Notamacropus eugenii: one gene and its partner. The protein of the gene in region 2 purifies or fractionates together with the protein of the main gene of each other region. This does not show direct contact. Links are inferred from orthologs where the notes say so. Each region holds a gene or a part of one and is shown on either strand. Other genes may lie near its edges.

The links. Proteins that work in one complex are often made in the same cells at the same time.
Region 1: the proteins of IRAK1 (region 2) and IRAK3 purify together in Homo sapiens (co-immunoprecipitation; 3 studies listed by BioGRID and IntAct, with this or other methods). This does not show direct contact. The link is inferred for Notamacropus eugenii from reciprocal best matches to the Homo sapiens genes IRAK1 and IRAK3.

The regions. Positions count from the first base shown.
Region 1 is NC_092874.1:243,146,168-243,153,172, forward strand, and holds the start of IRAK3 (interleukin-1 receptor-associated kinase 3), read left to right. Parts: upstream 1-4,000; 5' UTR 4,001-4,145; coding exon 4,146-4,299; intron 4,300-7,005. UniProt on the Homo sapiens protein: Putative inactive protein kinase which regulates signaling downstream of immune receptors including IL1R and Toll-like receptors.
Region 2 is NC_092879.1:22,992,642-23,000,287, reverse strand, and holds the start of IRAK1 (interleukin-1 receptor-associated kinase 1), read left to right. Parts: upstream 1-4,640; 5' UTR 4,641-4,784; coding exon 4,785-4,920; intron 4,921-6,632; coding exon 6,633-6,800; intron 6,801-7,320; coding exon 7,321-7,479; intron 7,480-7,646.

The sequences.
Region 1 (7,005 bases), on a different chromosome or scaffold from region 2:
AAAACATGAAAGTAGTTGAAATTCTCCTAGGGAAATGAGTACGAGGAGAAGAAAACTTGCCCACTGTTAGGGGGCTATATGAAAAAGATCCAGGAAAGGAATCAAGATGGGTGGCCAGAGAGATAGGAAAAAAAATCAAAATAATGCATTGTCCCAGAGGTCAAGACAGAGGAGAATTTCAGGGAGAAAAAGGTAGTCAGTGATTCAGATTTTATAGTAAAGAGACTGAAGACTGGAAACTCCATCAGATTTTGCAATTCTATCATTTTCTTAATTGAAAAAAAAACTTTTTTTTCCTCACAGGGTTTTTGTTGTTCTCTACTATTTAAGACCCAAGGTGAAATCAACAAGCATTATTAAGTGCCAACTATGTGCTCAATGCTGGTGATTTTTTTAAAAGGCAAAGAATTTATTATCTAATGGAGTCAACAGGTAAACAACTATGGACAAAGAAGTGATAATGTTTAATATAAAATTTTGGAATAATCTCTTTGTTCTCTCTGAAGCAAACTCAGAGAATGCCTCTTCCTATGTCAGCAAAAGCCAGCCAAAGCTGACTCTGCATTCCTTGGAGACCTTTAACCTATGACATATCTTGAATAATGGGTCTTTCCTTTGTATCTTATTATCTATAGACACATACTATGTTATGACATATCTTGAATAATGGTAAAGAAAATATAGACATCTTAGGTCACAATTTCTATTGAACATTGTTTGCCCCTTCCTGTGTCAGTTATCTGTGGTGGGATTTCCTTCCTTGTCACCGAGACATATGTTTACCCAGCTTGGAATCTCAACATTTGATTGACATTACTTTGTTAATTGTCTTGTCTTACTAAATTTATGATTTGTTCAACTAGGAGAGTTCCTTTCTCATGGCAAAATGTATATAAGCCAGAAGATTTCTGCACTGGGTAGCCAGAACATTTCTGGCTCCATAATGCATTATGTAACTGTTTTCTTTAATAGGGAATTGACCAATTAATTAATTAAATCATAAAATGTATGCAATTAGCCTGTTGCCTTTCTTAACCAAGTTTTCAGGTCAACAGAAGAAAGGTACAAACTGGAGATAATCTCTAAGAGAAGGCACTAGCATTGAAAAGGGTGGGGAAAAGCTTCTTGCAAAGGTGTCATTTTAGTTGAGACCTTTAAAGAAAGTCAGAGAAGCCTGGAGAAGGAAGAGGAAATAAGGAAAGAGGGAATTCTGGGCATAGGGAAAATGCAAGTGAAAAGGCACAGAATCGGGTATGGAGCATCTTGTGAGAGAAAAAGTAGGGAGACCAGTTTTCAATTGGGAAGGGGGGGCAGTATCAGGGAGGAAAGGAAGGAGGCAGGGAAGAAGAAGGGAAGGGAAAGAGAGAAGAGAAGGAGGAGGGAGGGATTGGGAGAGAGAGAGAGAGAGAGAGAGGGAAAGGGAGAGAAGGGAGAGGGAGAGGGAGGGGGTAGAGATTCAGGATTGTTTTTAAGAGCACAGAACAACAACAATAAAAGATATCCAGGTTCTAATCCCTTCCCCAAAAGAAAAACCCAACATATCAAGAAACTACTACACATGTATAACTATTTACTAAATAATTGTCAACAGTTTTGTCTACAGTATGCTTTTGCTATGTAATGTGACAGGCCTACTTACATTCCAAGGCCTGGCTGACCTTGTTCACCTCTTGAAGTAATGGTTTCTTTGGGGGATTTATCCACTTTGTAGGGAAAACAATTTCCGAATCCATGGGAAGAAGAAAACAGTGTGTTTTTTTTATTTAAAGATTTATGCTTATAGCCTGCCAAAGGGCAAAGAGCTCCTATAGAAGAAGGAAAGTAAGCATTTTTCAAACATTACTGAAACCAGAACTCCTGCCCGAAAGAGTCAGCAATAGGAGCCCAGGAACAGTGACCAACATTTCCTGAAGCCAACAGGTCCTTGACTCAGGAACTGTTGGCAAATAAATTGAGCCACATTCTTTTGGTAAGAATTTCTCCACCTCACATTCAAATTTCTTAACAAACACCACCACAAAGCTAAACTTCTAGAGGAAAGGAACTGTGTACTTTAAAAATGAAAGTTTGTGTGTGTTTTTTTTTAAAGTGGGTGCTGATGTAATCCTTTTTGGTGTTGAAATCAAATTTTTTCAAACAAGATTTGATTTTTAAAATGTGTGTATAAGTATATATCTACATCTGTGTATGTGTGTGTGTACATACACACATAAATATACATATAATTGCTTATCCCTTCTTTCCTTTGATTCCTCCCTTGTCAGTCAGTCAGTAAACCTTTATTAAGGACCTACTATGCGCCAACCACTGTGCTAAGAGCCTTGAAGCAATGAAAAGCCAATTGACAAACGAAACCAATCTATCAGTTCAGAAGATACAATATTCTCTAGACCTGAAGGACAATGTGGTTCAGTGGGCAAAATACTGACTCTCTAGCCTAAGGACCTCAATTTACATCCCAGCTTGGCTATTTACTATCTTTGTAACCTTGGGCAAATTACTGCAATTTTCTTGGCTCAGTTTCCTCCTCAGTAAAATGAGTAAGCTAGATCAAAATTACCTCTAAGCTAGCTCTGTAGCAATGAAGCTTTAATCATAGGTCAGCTGTCTATTAGTGTTATCATGTACATTACTGCACTCATTGTGTCTAGTGTTCTGGGTCTACTTTCTTCACTTTACACCAGTTCATACAAGTCTTCCTATGTTTCTCTTAATTCCTCATGTTTTTCATTTCTTACTGAATTTGAATCCACTACATTCACATACCACAGTACGTAGAACTAACCATTCCCCAATTGATGGGCATCACTTTGTTTCAAGTTTTTTTGTTTTGTTTTGTTTTTGCTACCACAGTAAGGGCTGCTATGAATATATCAAGGATTTTTCTCTCTGTCTTTGTTATCCTTAGAATAAGTACTCCTTAGTGGTATCACACTTCCTCCGCCTCCTCGAATATTTCTAGAATGGTTGGACCAATTCACAACTCCACCAACAATGTATTAATAATCTGTCTTCTTACTTTCCCTGCTAACATTCTAATTTATCTTTAACATTTTAGTGGAATTGAGGTGAAACCTCAGAATGATTTTCCGTATTGGTGATTTGGAGCATTTTTATATGATTGTTATTCATCTGCATTTTTTGTTTTGGAGGCAATCAGGGTTAAATGACTTGCCCAGGGTCACATAGCCATTAAGTGTGGAGTGTTGGAGTGCTGCATTTGAACTGGGATTCTCCTGACTCCAGGGCCGGTCTTCTATCCATTGCACCACCTAGCTGCCCCAGTCATCTGTATTTCTTCTGCAAAATGTTCATATCAATTTGTTTGATCACTAATCTACATGAAAATTTAGATTAACTAAATTTTGGGAGGGAAGGGCAAAATAAGTAGAGAAGTATAATGAAAAGTTACTAAATAATGCAAAGAGGATGAGAGGATTATAAGATTTAGAGCCAGGAGGGACCCAATCCATTGCTGAATAGTTCTGAATTATTTTTTTGCCAGACATCATTCCAAAAAAAGGATTCAAACCCATCTCCTCAGAACTGAGGTAATTATACCTGGGGGTGGGGGTGGGGGGGTTGTGATTGCGCGAGGGTAGGGGCTGGACCTGGTTAATTTCTTGTGGTCCCTTCCAGCACTGGGATCTGCTAAGATCTGTGATTCTTCATAAATTCAGAGCATATGGCCAATGCCATCTGTCTGGTGGTCAAGTCTAATCAAATCTAAACCCCACTCTCCAATTATGTTTTGGGTCCAGTTTTAGTTCTTTTTCTGTCCGCGCCCCACCACAACACAAAATCTCCAGAATTCCCAACTCAGGCTGGAGATGAATGAAAGACGGGAGGGAAGTTTGGTTCCGTCCTCAGAAGTTCAGAGGTCGGGCGAGTTTCTCCAGCTGGGAATCTCTGCTCAGATGGAGCAATAACTCCAGTTTGCGTCATGGAGCGGACGTCGGTCCAGCTTCTGGCCTTGGCAAAGGTACCTCGCTGTTCCGACGGGAGTGATGGCCACAAGGAGGATTTCCGCAGTTGTGAAAGAGAACGCCTAGAGAGAGGGGTGGAGGAAACCCTTGCCTCTCCACCCTTGTTTCCCCTAGTCAGCCAAGCACCAGCAGGCAGCGGTGAGCAGGCGCTGGGGAGAGATGGCTTGGGCTCCCGCGGACGGGAGGAGAAGGCGCTGGGAGCCCGCAGCCTTCCCCGCCAGCCTGCCCCTGTTCGATCTGCCTCCTTCGCTCCTGGGCAGCTTCTGCTCTATCCTGGACTCCTGCGATGGAGCGCTGGGCTGGCGGGGACTCGGTAAGTGAGGGACCTGGGGCCCGCGGGCGCAGGCAGCTAGAAAGCAATTGGGGAAGTAGGGGGATTGGCCGAGGCTGAGATCTCTCTCGCGTCCGCGCGGTGGGGCTCGGAGAGGGGGCAGGTGAGGCGAGGCGGAATTCCGTTTCATTTATACCCAAATCGCCTCCCATTCTTGCCTTTTGAAAGAACTTTAACTACTCCCTAGGAGAGCTGCTCATCCCTTTATCATGGGTCAGAATAACCTTGGGATGTCTCTGGGAACTAAGTGGGCAGAAGGCACGCTTTTTTTAAAACTCTCTTGCCTTGCCCTATCCCGGCAAAATAAGTAAGTGATATTTTAAATCGGAAGGAACAATTTCCTCAAAACATTATTTTCATTTTTTTCTCCATTATGTGCACTCTTATTTGCAGGAGTTTCACAGACTTTTATGGTTTCTTCCACTCATTTTAATTCTTCCTTGCAACATGACTTAAGGTGAAAATGTATTTAATAGGAATGTATGTGTTGAACCTATATAAGATTGTACACCGTCTCAGGGAAGGAATGAGGAGGAAGGGTGGAAGAAGGAGGAGGGAGGGAAAAAAATCTAAGATATATGGAAGTGATTGTAGAACACTGAAAACAAATAATATAATTTAATTAATAAAAGGATACAATTCACTAAAGTAAAACAAAAACAGAAAAAAAGGTTTACAGATAATACTAATTTGCTTTCTTCTTCCCAAATTCCTTTACCCTTTTAAAGTTTCCAGTGCTACCTAACTCTTACAAGTTAAATTCCCTTTGGCAAGTTTAAAATGTTTAAACTTTATAATTGTACATTTGCTTACATAATTTTATATGTACATATAATTATGTATTTTATAATATGCTTATAATTGTAAGTACGTAGGCTTTCAACGTTTCTTAAATGTATTTCTTTCAGCTACTAAGTGCTCAATTCACCTTGTTATAGTGAAAAGAGCACTATCCAGGGGGACATAAGATCAAAGTCCCATTCTGCTACTTACTTACTTGTGTGACAGTGGTCAAATCATTAAAACTCTCTAGGCCTTAGTTTCTCCATCTGAAAGATGAAGAAATTAGGCTCCATGGCCTTTAGGATGTCTTCCACCCTGGCATCCATGATCCCAGGATAGAATGAAAGTTTCAGTTCATGGAAAGACTTTTAACTTTTCAATCTTATTAATTCATCTTTTTACCCTTTGCTTTAAAGAAAATGTGGAAAGTTGATTACCTGAATGTGTAGATTAGTCAATGTGGATAATATGGGTAAAAAAATTTTTTTCCCTTTAATAGTATTTTTTTGGCTCCATAGTTGTTTCTGCTTTGCATAGACAGTCATTGTATCCCCAGTTAATTAGTTAAAAGTAAATATATGTGTAGATATATGTATATATTTGATTTATCTGAAATAATACAAAATAAATTTATATACAGATGGATATGAGTCATAGGGAGAAGTTGCCTACTCGGTGAAGAGAGGTATAAATTCTGGGTCTCCTAGTAAAAATCTCAGACAAGGATCTTTTGTTAGTTACGAAGTGGGCAGATTTCTAGTGAAAATGGGGACTTTTCTTTCCCTTCCTGGTCTACCATCTCCTTCCTATAGTGTACAGTAGCTTAGACAATATTTCTACCTAAGGATTTCAATAGTAATACTTCAAAGGATCTGTGTTTTCGTCTGTAATGGGAATGACACTATAAATACAGGTTGAAGCCAGCCCCTTCCACACCTTAACAGGTTATCTTTGTGAGTTGATGCATCCAAATATTTTTTGTTTGTTGTTAACTAAACATCTGATAATAAGTATCTCTGAAATTAGCCAGGCTAGTTCTCAGATAACAGGCATCCTGGCTTTTATTCAAAACTTATATTTCCCTTATATAGCCTTCCAGAACCTAGGATCACCACTATGCCATCATGAGTTATTGAAGTAGAAATTTTGTAGGGATCTACTTGAGCCAGCTTGTATCAGTTCTTAAGAGCTGGTAGTAAAATTTTCAGCATAAACTTTTAAACCTCAGAAATCAGTATACCTATAAATCAGGGCTTGATTTATTGTTTCATTGTCTAATCTTAAGAAAATAATGGAGAAAATGTTAAAAATGCTGATTAAATTTGAAAGTGTCATGCATGTATTTCTGTCCACCCCCACCCCCCGGGAGAGCCAGTTGTTAAATATTTACCAGTACATCTTTGGACTTTGTGAAGCAAAGGAAATCACAGGGTTTGAGAGCTACAAGGGACTGTAAAGATTGAGTTGTTTAGCTTACCCAATGGTTAGTTAGTTGGTGACAAACTTTAGACTTCTTTATTCTTTGTCCTGTGTTCTCTACTCTACCCCACTCATTATTCTACCTTTTTTGGATATAATCATCCTTTATCTCAATGAGTAGTTTAATAAGCAGCAGTTTTTTCTGTAACCCTTCCATATACTCTTGAGGGCTGGGTCCCCAAGAGAGTAACTATCCTCAAGGTATTCTGTGGATCTTTACTCTTAAAACCCATTGCTTATGAGCCCCCACCAGTGCACTTACATCTGATAGAGAACCAGTAGCTCAAAGCAAAAGCATTCACTGAGATGGCATCAGAAGAGCAATAACAATAAAATATTCTTCTATAAACCTGGAGTACACTCTCCCATAACTGCACATGGAGTCAGCACAAAGAACAGGGTTAATGAAGAGACACACACAGGAAA
Region 2 (7,646 bases):
AATGCTGCAGAGTCGTTAAGAAGGCTAGGAACTGAGGATTTGCCGATTAAGAGATCACTGGTAACCTTGAAGCAGGTGAGTGAGAAAAAGGGAAGCCAGAATGCAAAGGGTTCAGAAGCAGGTAGGAAATGAAAAGATGGAGGAAAAGTCCATCAGTTAACATGTAGTGGCATCTACAGCCTGCCAGGTATTGTGCTACATGCTGGGGACATGAAGAAAGACCCCCCCAAAAAAAAATCCAGCCTCTACCCTCAAGGAGCACCCAGTCTAATGGGGGAGACAACATATAAGGAGCTACAGTACATCCGAACCAGACAAATACAGGATAAATGGGGGGAGTCTGAAAGGGAAAGCACGCAGATTAAGGAGGACTGGGAAGAACTTCAGCAGAAAGTAGGACTTTAGCTGAGATCTGAAGGAAGTCAAGTGGAGAGGAGAAAGAGAAACTTACAAGGCATGGAAAACAGCTAGGAGGCTGAGTATGGACTGCCTTTTTTAGGAGCCGGCTGGGAGAGAGATAGAATGATAGTTTAAAGGGATAGTAAGATTAAGTAAAAGGTTATTTTTTAATAATAAATTTTTTTTTCGATGAGCAAAACCCTACCTCTCCTTCCCTTCTTCCCCTCCCCAACGAAAAAGAAGGAAAAATAAAATCCTTGTGACAAATTTGCATAGTGAAACAAAACAAATCTCTGTGTTGGCTATGTCCAAAAAAATCTGTCTCACCCTGTCCCCTAAGTCCGTCACCTGTGTGTCTGGAACTGGGTAACATGCTATATCACCTATCCTCTGGAATTGTGTGGTTTGGTCGTACTGACCAGGGTTCTGGAGTCATTCACAGCAGTTTGCCTTTACAATTCAATTGTTACTAAGTGAAGGGTTTGGAGATTTTGGTTTGGGTTTTTTTGTTTGTTTGTTTTTAAGAAAGGGGATCATCTAGGCATATTTCATAGGGAAGGAACCAGTGGATAAGGAGAATTCAAAAATGAAGGCATGACCAAAAGGGCCATCTCTGAGGAGAAGGGGAATGTAATGGAATCCAGGGGATAAGCAGAAAGGGGACAGTGTGTTGAGTGTGGGGATGTGTTCTCCCTTGTTACACACATGCATTACATATAAAAGCACACAGTCTTTTCAAGAGAAAATGAACAGAAACATGTCAGACCCCATGTGGGTGCAGTGAGGTATTTTGCCATAAGGTTAGCCTCTGCTGCCATTAGAAAGGAAAGAGGTACTGAGAGCTGGAAGAGAAAGAAGTAGTTAGAGCCTAAAAGAAACGCATCTTTAACACCTTCTCTTTGCTATTCCTGAGAGTGAGCAAAGCTTTGCAGCTTTGTCAACAAGCACCAGGTAGTATAGTGTAGTGGATGGGGGGGGGGGTAAGAAGGTGTCAAGAAAACCAGGTTTCAAGACCAAATGTGTCACTGGAGGGCAAGTCTCAGCCTCTCAGTGTCCCCAGCAGCCCCCTAACACCAGCAATGGCTGAGCAGGTGCCTGTCACTGCCCTCATCACTGCTCCCAAACTGACTTTCTCACACATGCTCCATCTCCTATTGTAATCCCTGGCTTTCCTCAAGACTGGGTTCAAGTGAGGCCTTCCCCTCTGAGATCACCTGCCATCTGCCCCATATGTACCTCAGTATGTGTGTTTTGTGTGCCCCATTAGAATATACACTTCTGGAAAACGAGGACTGTCCATGGTGTTTCTTCACATCCTCAGCTTATCACAGGGTCTGGCACAGAGTAATCACTTAAATGCTTGCTGATTCATTGATAAGTGTTTTTTATACCAATGACATTGCAAGCCTGCCATCCCAAACGTTTGAGGTTCTGTCCCTAGAACTGGGCATAACATAGCTCAAAGCCCCATATTCTCTGCCCTCCAGGAGCTTTGCCATTCTAATGGAGCTGCGTCTGGAGGAGTTTCTGTTCTGCTACCTCACAGTGCTTGGTGCTTTTAGATTTGCCAAGCATTTTACTGACATCATCTCATTTGAATGGCACAATGATCCTGGGAGGTAAGTGCTATGATTATCCCTTTTTTACAGATTCAGAAACTGAGGCTCAGCAAGGAGGGAGAGTTTGGGGTCTTTGCCTTCACCTCCTCTATTTGCTTTGGTCCTCCTCCTTCTGTAAGGGCCTAGTAGTCAGTCCCTGGGCCCCGCCCCAGCCCCCCCCCCCCTTGTCCTCTTTTCCATTATCTCCTCAGTAATTTCCTGTTCCTCCTACTCCCCTAGCCCTTTTACAATTAATTCAACCACCTTAGGTTTTCCCCCTCCCACCCTACTGTCCTTCCTGCCGGAAAGATCAACTTTGGCCCACTGAGTGAACCTGCTGGGCGATTTAAGGGGTTGGGGCCACTTTAATGGGTCCCACTATTTACTTTTATGGGCCAAGGTGCTAGGTGCCCTTCCTAGTCACCTTTCTTTTACCTAACACACAGGGAATGGTTTCTTGACCTGGGTGCTGCCTGCCCCTACCCTCCCCGACTCTAGCTTGTGCTGTGGTTGTTTGACCTAGTTGTCAGCTGAACCACACTGGTAAGCTGCTTCTCCCCCTTGCTGGAGCAGGCAATGGGTAGCCTCAGCCTGACCCTAATCCTGAGATTGCCAATTCTGACCCCCTTCCCAAACTCATTCTAGTAGGTCCTTTTGGCCCTTCTTCACCTAGCTTTTCCCTCCCTTGTGACTTGCTCTGGATCCAAAAGGGTTGGAGGGGAGAGGAGACCACACCCCAAAATGGTGGGACCCTGTCCCCTAGGAGCTGATGAACAGCACAGACCATGAGGCTTTGAGGCTGAAGTGAAGTGGATATCTTTCTGGAAGAGTCTATAAGAGGAGAGGATGGGGGACAGGGTGGGTAGCTAGGAACCAGGTGAGAATGACTGTTTATGTGGGGACAAAGACTGAATGGCGTAGCCAAAGCAGAGGATACACCCTCTCCATTTACAAATGGGCAAATTAGAGCTGAATTGACCAAGGTCACATGGCTAGTAAGAGCCAGAGCTAGGTCACATCTAGATTTTCTGACTCCAGGTCCAACATTCAGCACAGGTTAAGGATGGAAACGTACATTTGGACCAGATAGTGGAGAGCCTTGAGTTGCCACTGAAGTTAGATGACTTGAATATTTTTATTTTTTTGAAAGTTAGGATTAAATGTTCTCCCTCTCGCCTTACCCCAGCATAAAATGCTTTTGGAATCCAGTAAATTGTTTCCCCTGTTGACCGAAAGATTTCTGAGAGAAATGGAGGGGGGAAAGGAATTCTCTCACTTGTCTCTAACAGCAGCCCCCTCCCTACAACATACCCAACAGGGCCTGGATCCTAGTGGATTAGGGAATGTCACTTGATGGGGGCAGATACCAAGCTCCTCTACCCTCAGGCTAAGCCCTTAGGGCTGATGGGATGGTGAGAGATCCCCTTACAATTCCAGGCCTTCTCTCACCTTAGATTTGGGGTCTCCCAAACTTCCCTATCTCACTTGTTTTACAAATGAAAGAAACAAAGACAGGGGAAATAAAACACCAGGTGGAATTTTTGAACCTGGACCCTTTGACTTTAAAAAGTCTGTGCTCTTTTTACTGAACATCTCAAGGCTTCAGACCCATTCATACAGAGATAACAATGTACATCGTCTCATATTCAATGCATGGTAGTGATTGGCCTCTGCTACCTGTGGCCAGGTCCTGTGTGGTCCCAGCATCCTACATCAGCAGAGTTGGGAGCACATAGTTCCAAAATGTCATAAATATAAAAGGCACAGGAAACAGCTCCAGGTGTTCTTAAATTGGAGTCTATGAGTTAACTAGGTGAGTTTATTTTTTTTTTAATATACTGATGATTGCATTTCAGTATAATCAGGTTCCTTTGTAATTCCTATGGATTTTATTTTATGCAATTTAAGAATAGGATTCTAAGAAGGGGTCTATGTTTAAGAGTCTGTGATCTAACCTAATCCTCTTATTTTTAAAGAATGATGCAAAGCTCCCCCCTCCCACTGCCTCTCCATTGAATAAAAAAAATAAAAAACATCATAAATATGTGTGTTCCAGTAGAAGTAATTCCCACATTGGCCATGCCCCGAAATGCTGCTCTGCGTTTCAAGATCATCACCTCTCTGGCGGGTGGGTGACTGATGCCAACTCTCTCATTTTACAGAAACAGAACTGAGGCCAGAGAGGCAAGGGACTTGCCCAAGACCACACAGCAAGTTAGTCGCAGAGCCAGACCCTAGAGGCCAACTCTGGCTAGTTCACTTTCCACTGGCCCATGCAATCGTGCCCTCCTCCTGGCGGCATTAGATGGCAAGCAGGATTCCCCTAGGCTGACCCGCCTCAGCCATTGGCCGGGATGCCTGAGGCCGGAAGGCGGCTGGAAGACTTCCAACCTTTCCGGGCTCCAAAGGAGGGGGAAGAGAGGGAAGGGGGAGGAGTGGAGGAAGAGAAAAAGGGCAGGCATTTTCCCCAGGCCACGCCCAGCAGACGTCCCCACCGTTCGCCCCGCCCCCCAGCCTCGCCCGACGTGGCGGCCCCAGAGGAAGGCGGGAGCGAGAGGGGGCAGCCTTTTCCTCCTCCTCTCCTCATCCCCGCCCCCGCCAGCATCAGGACGTTTAAAGGGATCCATTTAAAGGGGAAGTGACTCATTTTTCATAGGCTCGCCTGGCCCGGCCTGGTTCTGGAGCCCCGGGGCTCGCTCGCTTGTTGGCCAGCCTTCGCCTTCGTCTTGGCCTTGGCCTTGGCCTCGGCGTCGGCGGGCTAGGAGGCGCCGGCCGCGCGGGAGGATCATGGCCGAGGGGGCGGGCCCGAGGAGATCTGGGGATTCCGTTTCCCAGCGTTTCGTATACGAGGTGCCGGCCTGGATCATGTGTCGCTTCTACCAAGTGATGGATTCCCTGGAGTCGACCGACTGGTACAAGTTCGGTGAGGAGGCGGGGGAAGGGGGCATGGCCAGGGAGTCGCGCTGGGGCCGCGGGCCAGCCCGAAGGAGAGGGGAAGTGGCCCCGGGCGGGAAGCTGGGGCCCCCCTCCCCCAGCCCAGCCCTGGGCACCGGGATAGGAAAGGGCCCGAAGGCTGAGAATGGCCCGTGCGCTCCGGGGAACCCCTTCCATCTGCTTCCGCCCCTGGTCGTCAACCTTGGGGCTGCCGCTCCCCCCCGTTAGCCACCTTCCTTTCTGTCCCAGGCCACCCGTGCCCTCTGTGTGATCGGCGTACCAGGGAGACGAGATAGGGAGAATCATGAGACACCTCAAGAGCGTAGGATAGAGGGTTGACCCCACTGTCTCTCCTGACACTACCCCCACTCCAGATGCAGGCCCTCTTTCCCTCACTCCTGGACTATTGTAATAACTGCTGGGGAGGCAGGGGAGTAGAGGGGCAAGGGGATCTGCCTGCCTCAAGCCTGTCCCCACCTCAGTCCACCATCCATTCAGGCACCAAAGTGATTTTCCTATAAAGTTCAGGTCTTATTATGTCACACACACACACACACATTTCCACCCCCCACTCCCTGAAATAAACTCCAGGGGCTCCCAATTGTCCCCAGCAACAAATACAAAATGAGGAAACTGAGTCTGAGAGGCATTAAGTGACTTGCCTAAGGTCTTACAACTACTAAGTGTGTGAATTCCATCAGGTCTTCCAGACCCCAAGTCCAGCACCCTATCCAATACTCCATCATTTTTCTTAGAGATCATCTAATCTAAGCCTCTCACCTGACAGCGGGGGAAACTGAGACCTAGAGAGGTAACCCAGAAGGGGCCACTTTCCCAGAGGGACAGGTAGGAAAGCAATTCAAGCTCAGGACCTCTAGAGATTGGCTGCCCAGAGGCTACCACTTTCTTGTTGGTAAATTCATGAACCCTAAACTTAATAACTGTAGGTCCTTGCAGAAAAAGGAAAGCTTCCCTTTGCCCTCCCCCATCTATTCCCCCACTCTAAACTAGGACCGTGCAAGAGGGTTTGTATAGTCCAAAAGGACAATATCAGGCTCTTCTCTTGCCCCCACCCCAACACCTTGCCACCAAGAGTGAGGTCAAGAGGAAAAAGGGCCAATATTCAATGTGAGGAGAGTAAAGATAGCCAGAAACTGAGAGGGAGATGGCAAGAAGGCAGAAAAGAACCTACTGGGGAAGCAATCAGGCCAAGGAAGCCACTTTGGCCTATTCTCCCTCCCACCAACCAATTTGTTCCCAGAAGCTTTTCAAATTCTTTCTTGCAGGTGATTTGGGGCTATGGGAACAAATGGGATTGAGAACTGAAAGAGACTAGTGATTATTTAGTCCAGCTCCCTCATTTTTCAATGAGGAAACTGAGGCTCAGAAAAGGTGAAGTGACTTGCCCGTGGTCACACAGTGAAGTTAGTGGCAGAGCCAGTATTAGAACTCCAGTCCTGTGACTCAAAACTCAGGGTTCCTTGTCCATGGGCAGATGCAAGGTGTGAGTGACTTAGGACAGGGCCAGCACTGGCTTCATGCCACAGCAGGGATTGTGGTCAGAGCGAGGGCTGGGGAAGGCCTGGTGGGATGTCACCAAAGCCAACAGCCAAGCCCCAACCTGCTTCTGTCCTTGACAAGATGGCCCAAGGACAGCTTTGACTAGACTGTGTGGAGGTGACCCGTTTTCTTGCTTGTCAGCATCCCTCATTGTTCAGGACCAGACAGAACTACGGCTGGGGGAGCGTTTTCATGATCGAACAGCCAGGATCATGTGGCCTTGGATTAACAAAAACGCACGGGTTGCTGACCTCCTTCATATCCTCACTCACCTACAACTGCTTCGAGCCCGAGACATCATCACCAGTTGTGAGCCTTCCCTTCAAACCCTAATCCCCCAATCTCCCCACATACATATACCCAACCCCACGTCTACTTGTAAGTGTCATCTGTCAGTGCCCAAACAAAACCCCTCCCTTCCTTCAAGTCCCCAGCTATCCCCTAGAGCTCCCCCTGTCCTAGGGGAACTTGAGGAAGAATAGTTGGATTGGGGAGGCTTCAGCAACAAAGAAGGCTGAGTTTCAATTCAAAGAACTAACCCCAGTCCTGGGCCCTAAAGTCCAAGGGACTTTCCCCCTGCCTCCCACACCCCAACCAGGCCCCAGCTGGGCTCCTAGAAATAGCATCCACCCCCCGGAGAGAGGATTTCCCTCACCCCACCCTTGTAAAGGGAGGCAGGTCTGTGTCTTTCCCCTTGGCCCCAAGAAGGTGATGGAGTGCAGGAGGAAAGCATGTTATCTCCCCCACATACCCCATATCATTCCCTGCTATCATTCTTGCTTTTTTAACAGTATCTTTGTGTCTTTTCCTTCCTTCCCTATACTTTTAGGGAATCCTGAACCCCCATCATTGCCCCCTGCTGCCTCATTAATGTGCACACCCACCCCTCCATGGCCCCCTCCTCACCCAAAGCCCACTAGCGTCCATAAGGAAGAGGGAGTCAGACCTCCCAAGGTGCCACAGTCTGCCTCGACCTTCCTTTCCCCAGGTAATGGGGCACTGTATTTGGGGAGGGGGAATCCAGAGTTTCTTGAAGGAAAGGGGTGAAACATTGACCCCCCCTTAATACCTCCTGGGCCAGCTGTCGTGGACAGGTGGGGAGGGGTCTCAAATCATGAGCTTAGGGTGAAGCCTCCTTCTGAAAAAGGAAAGGAG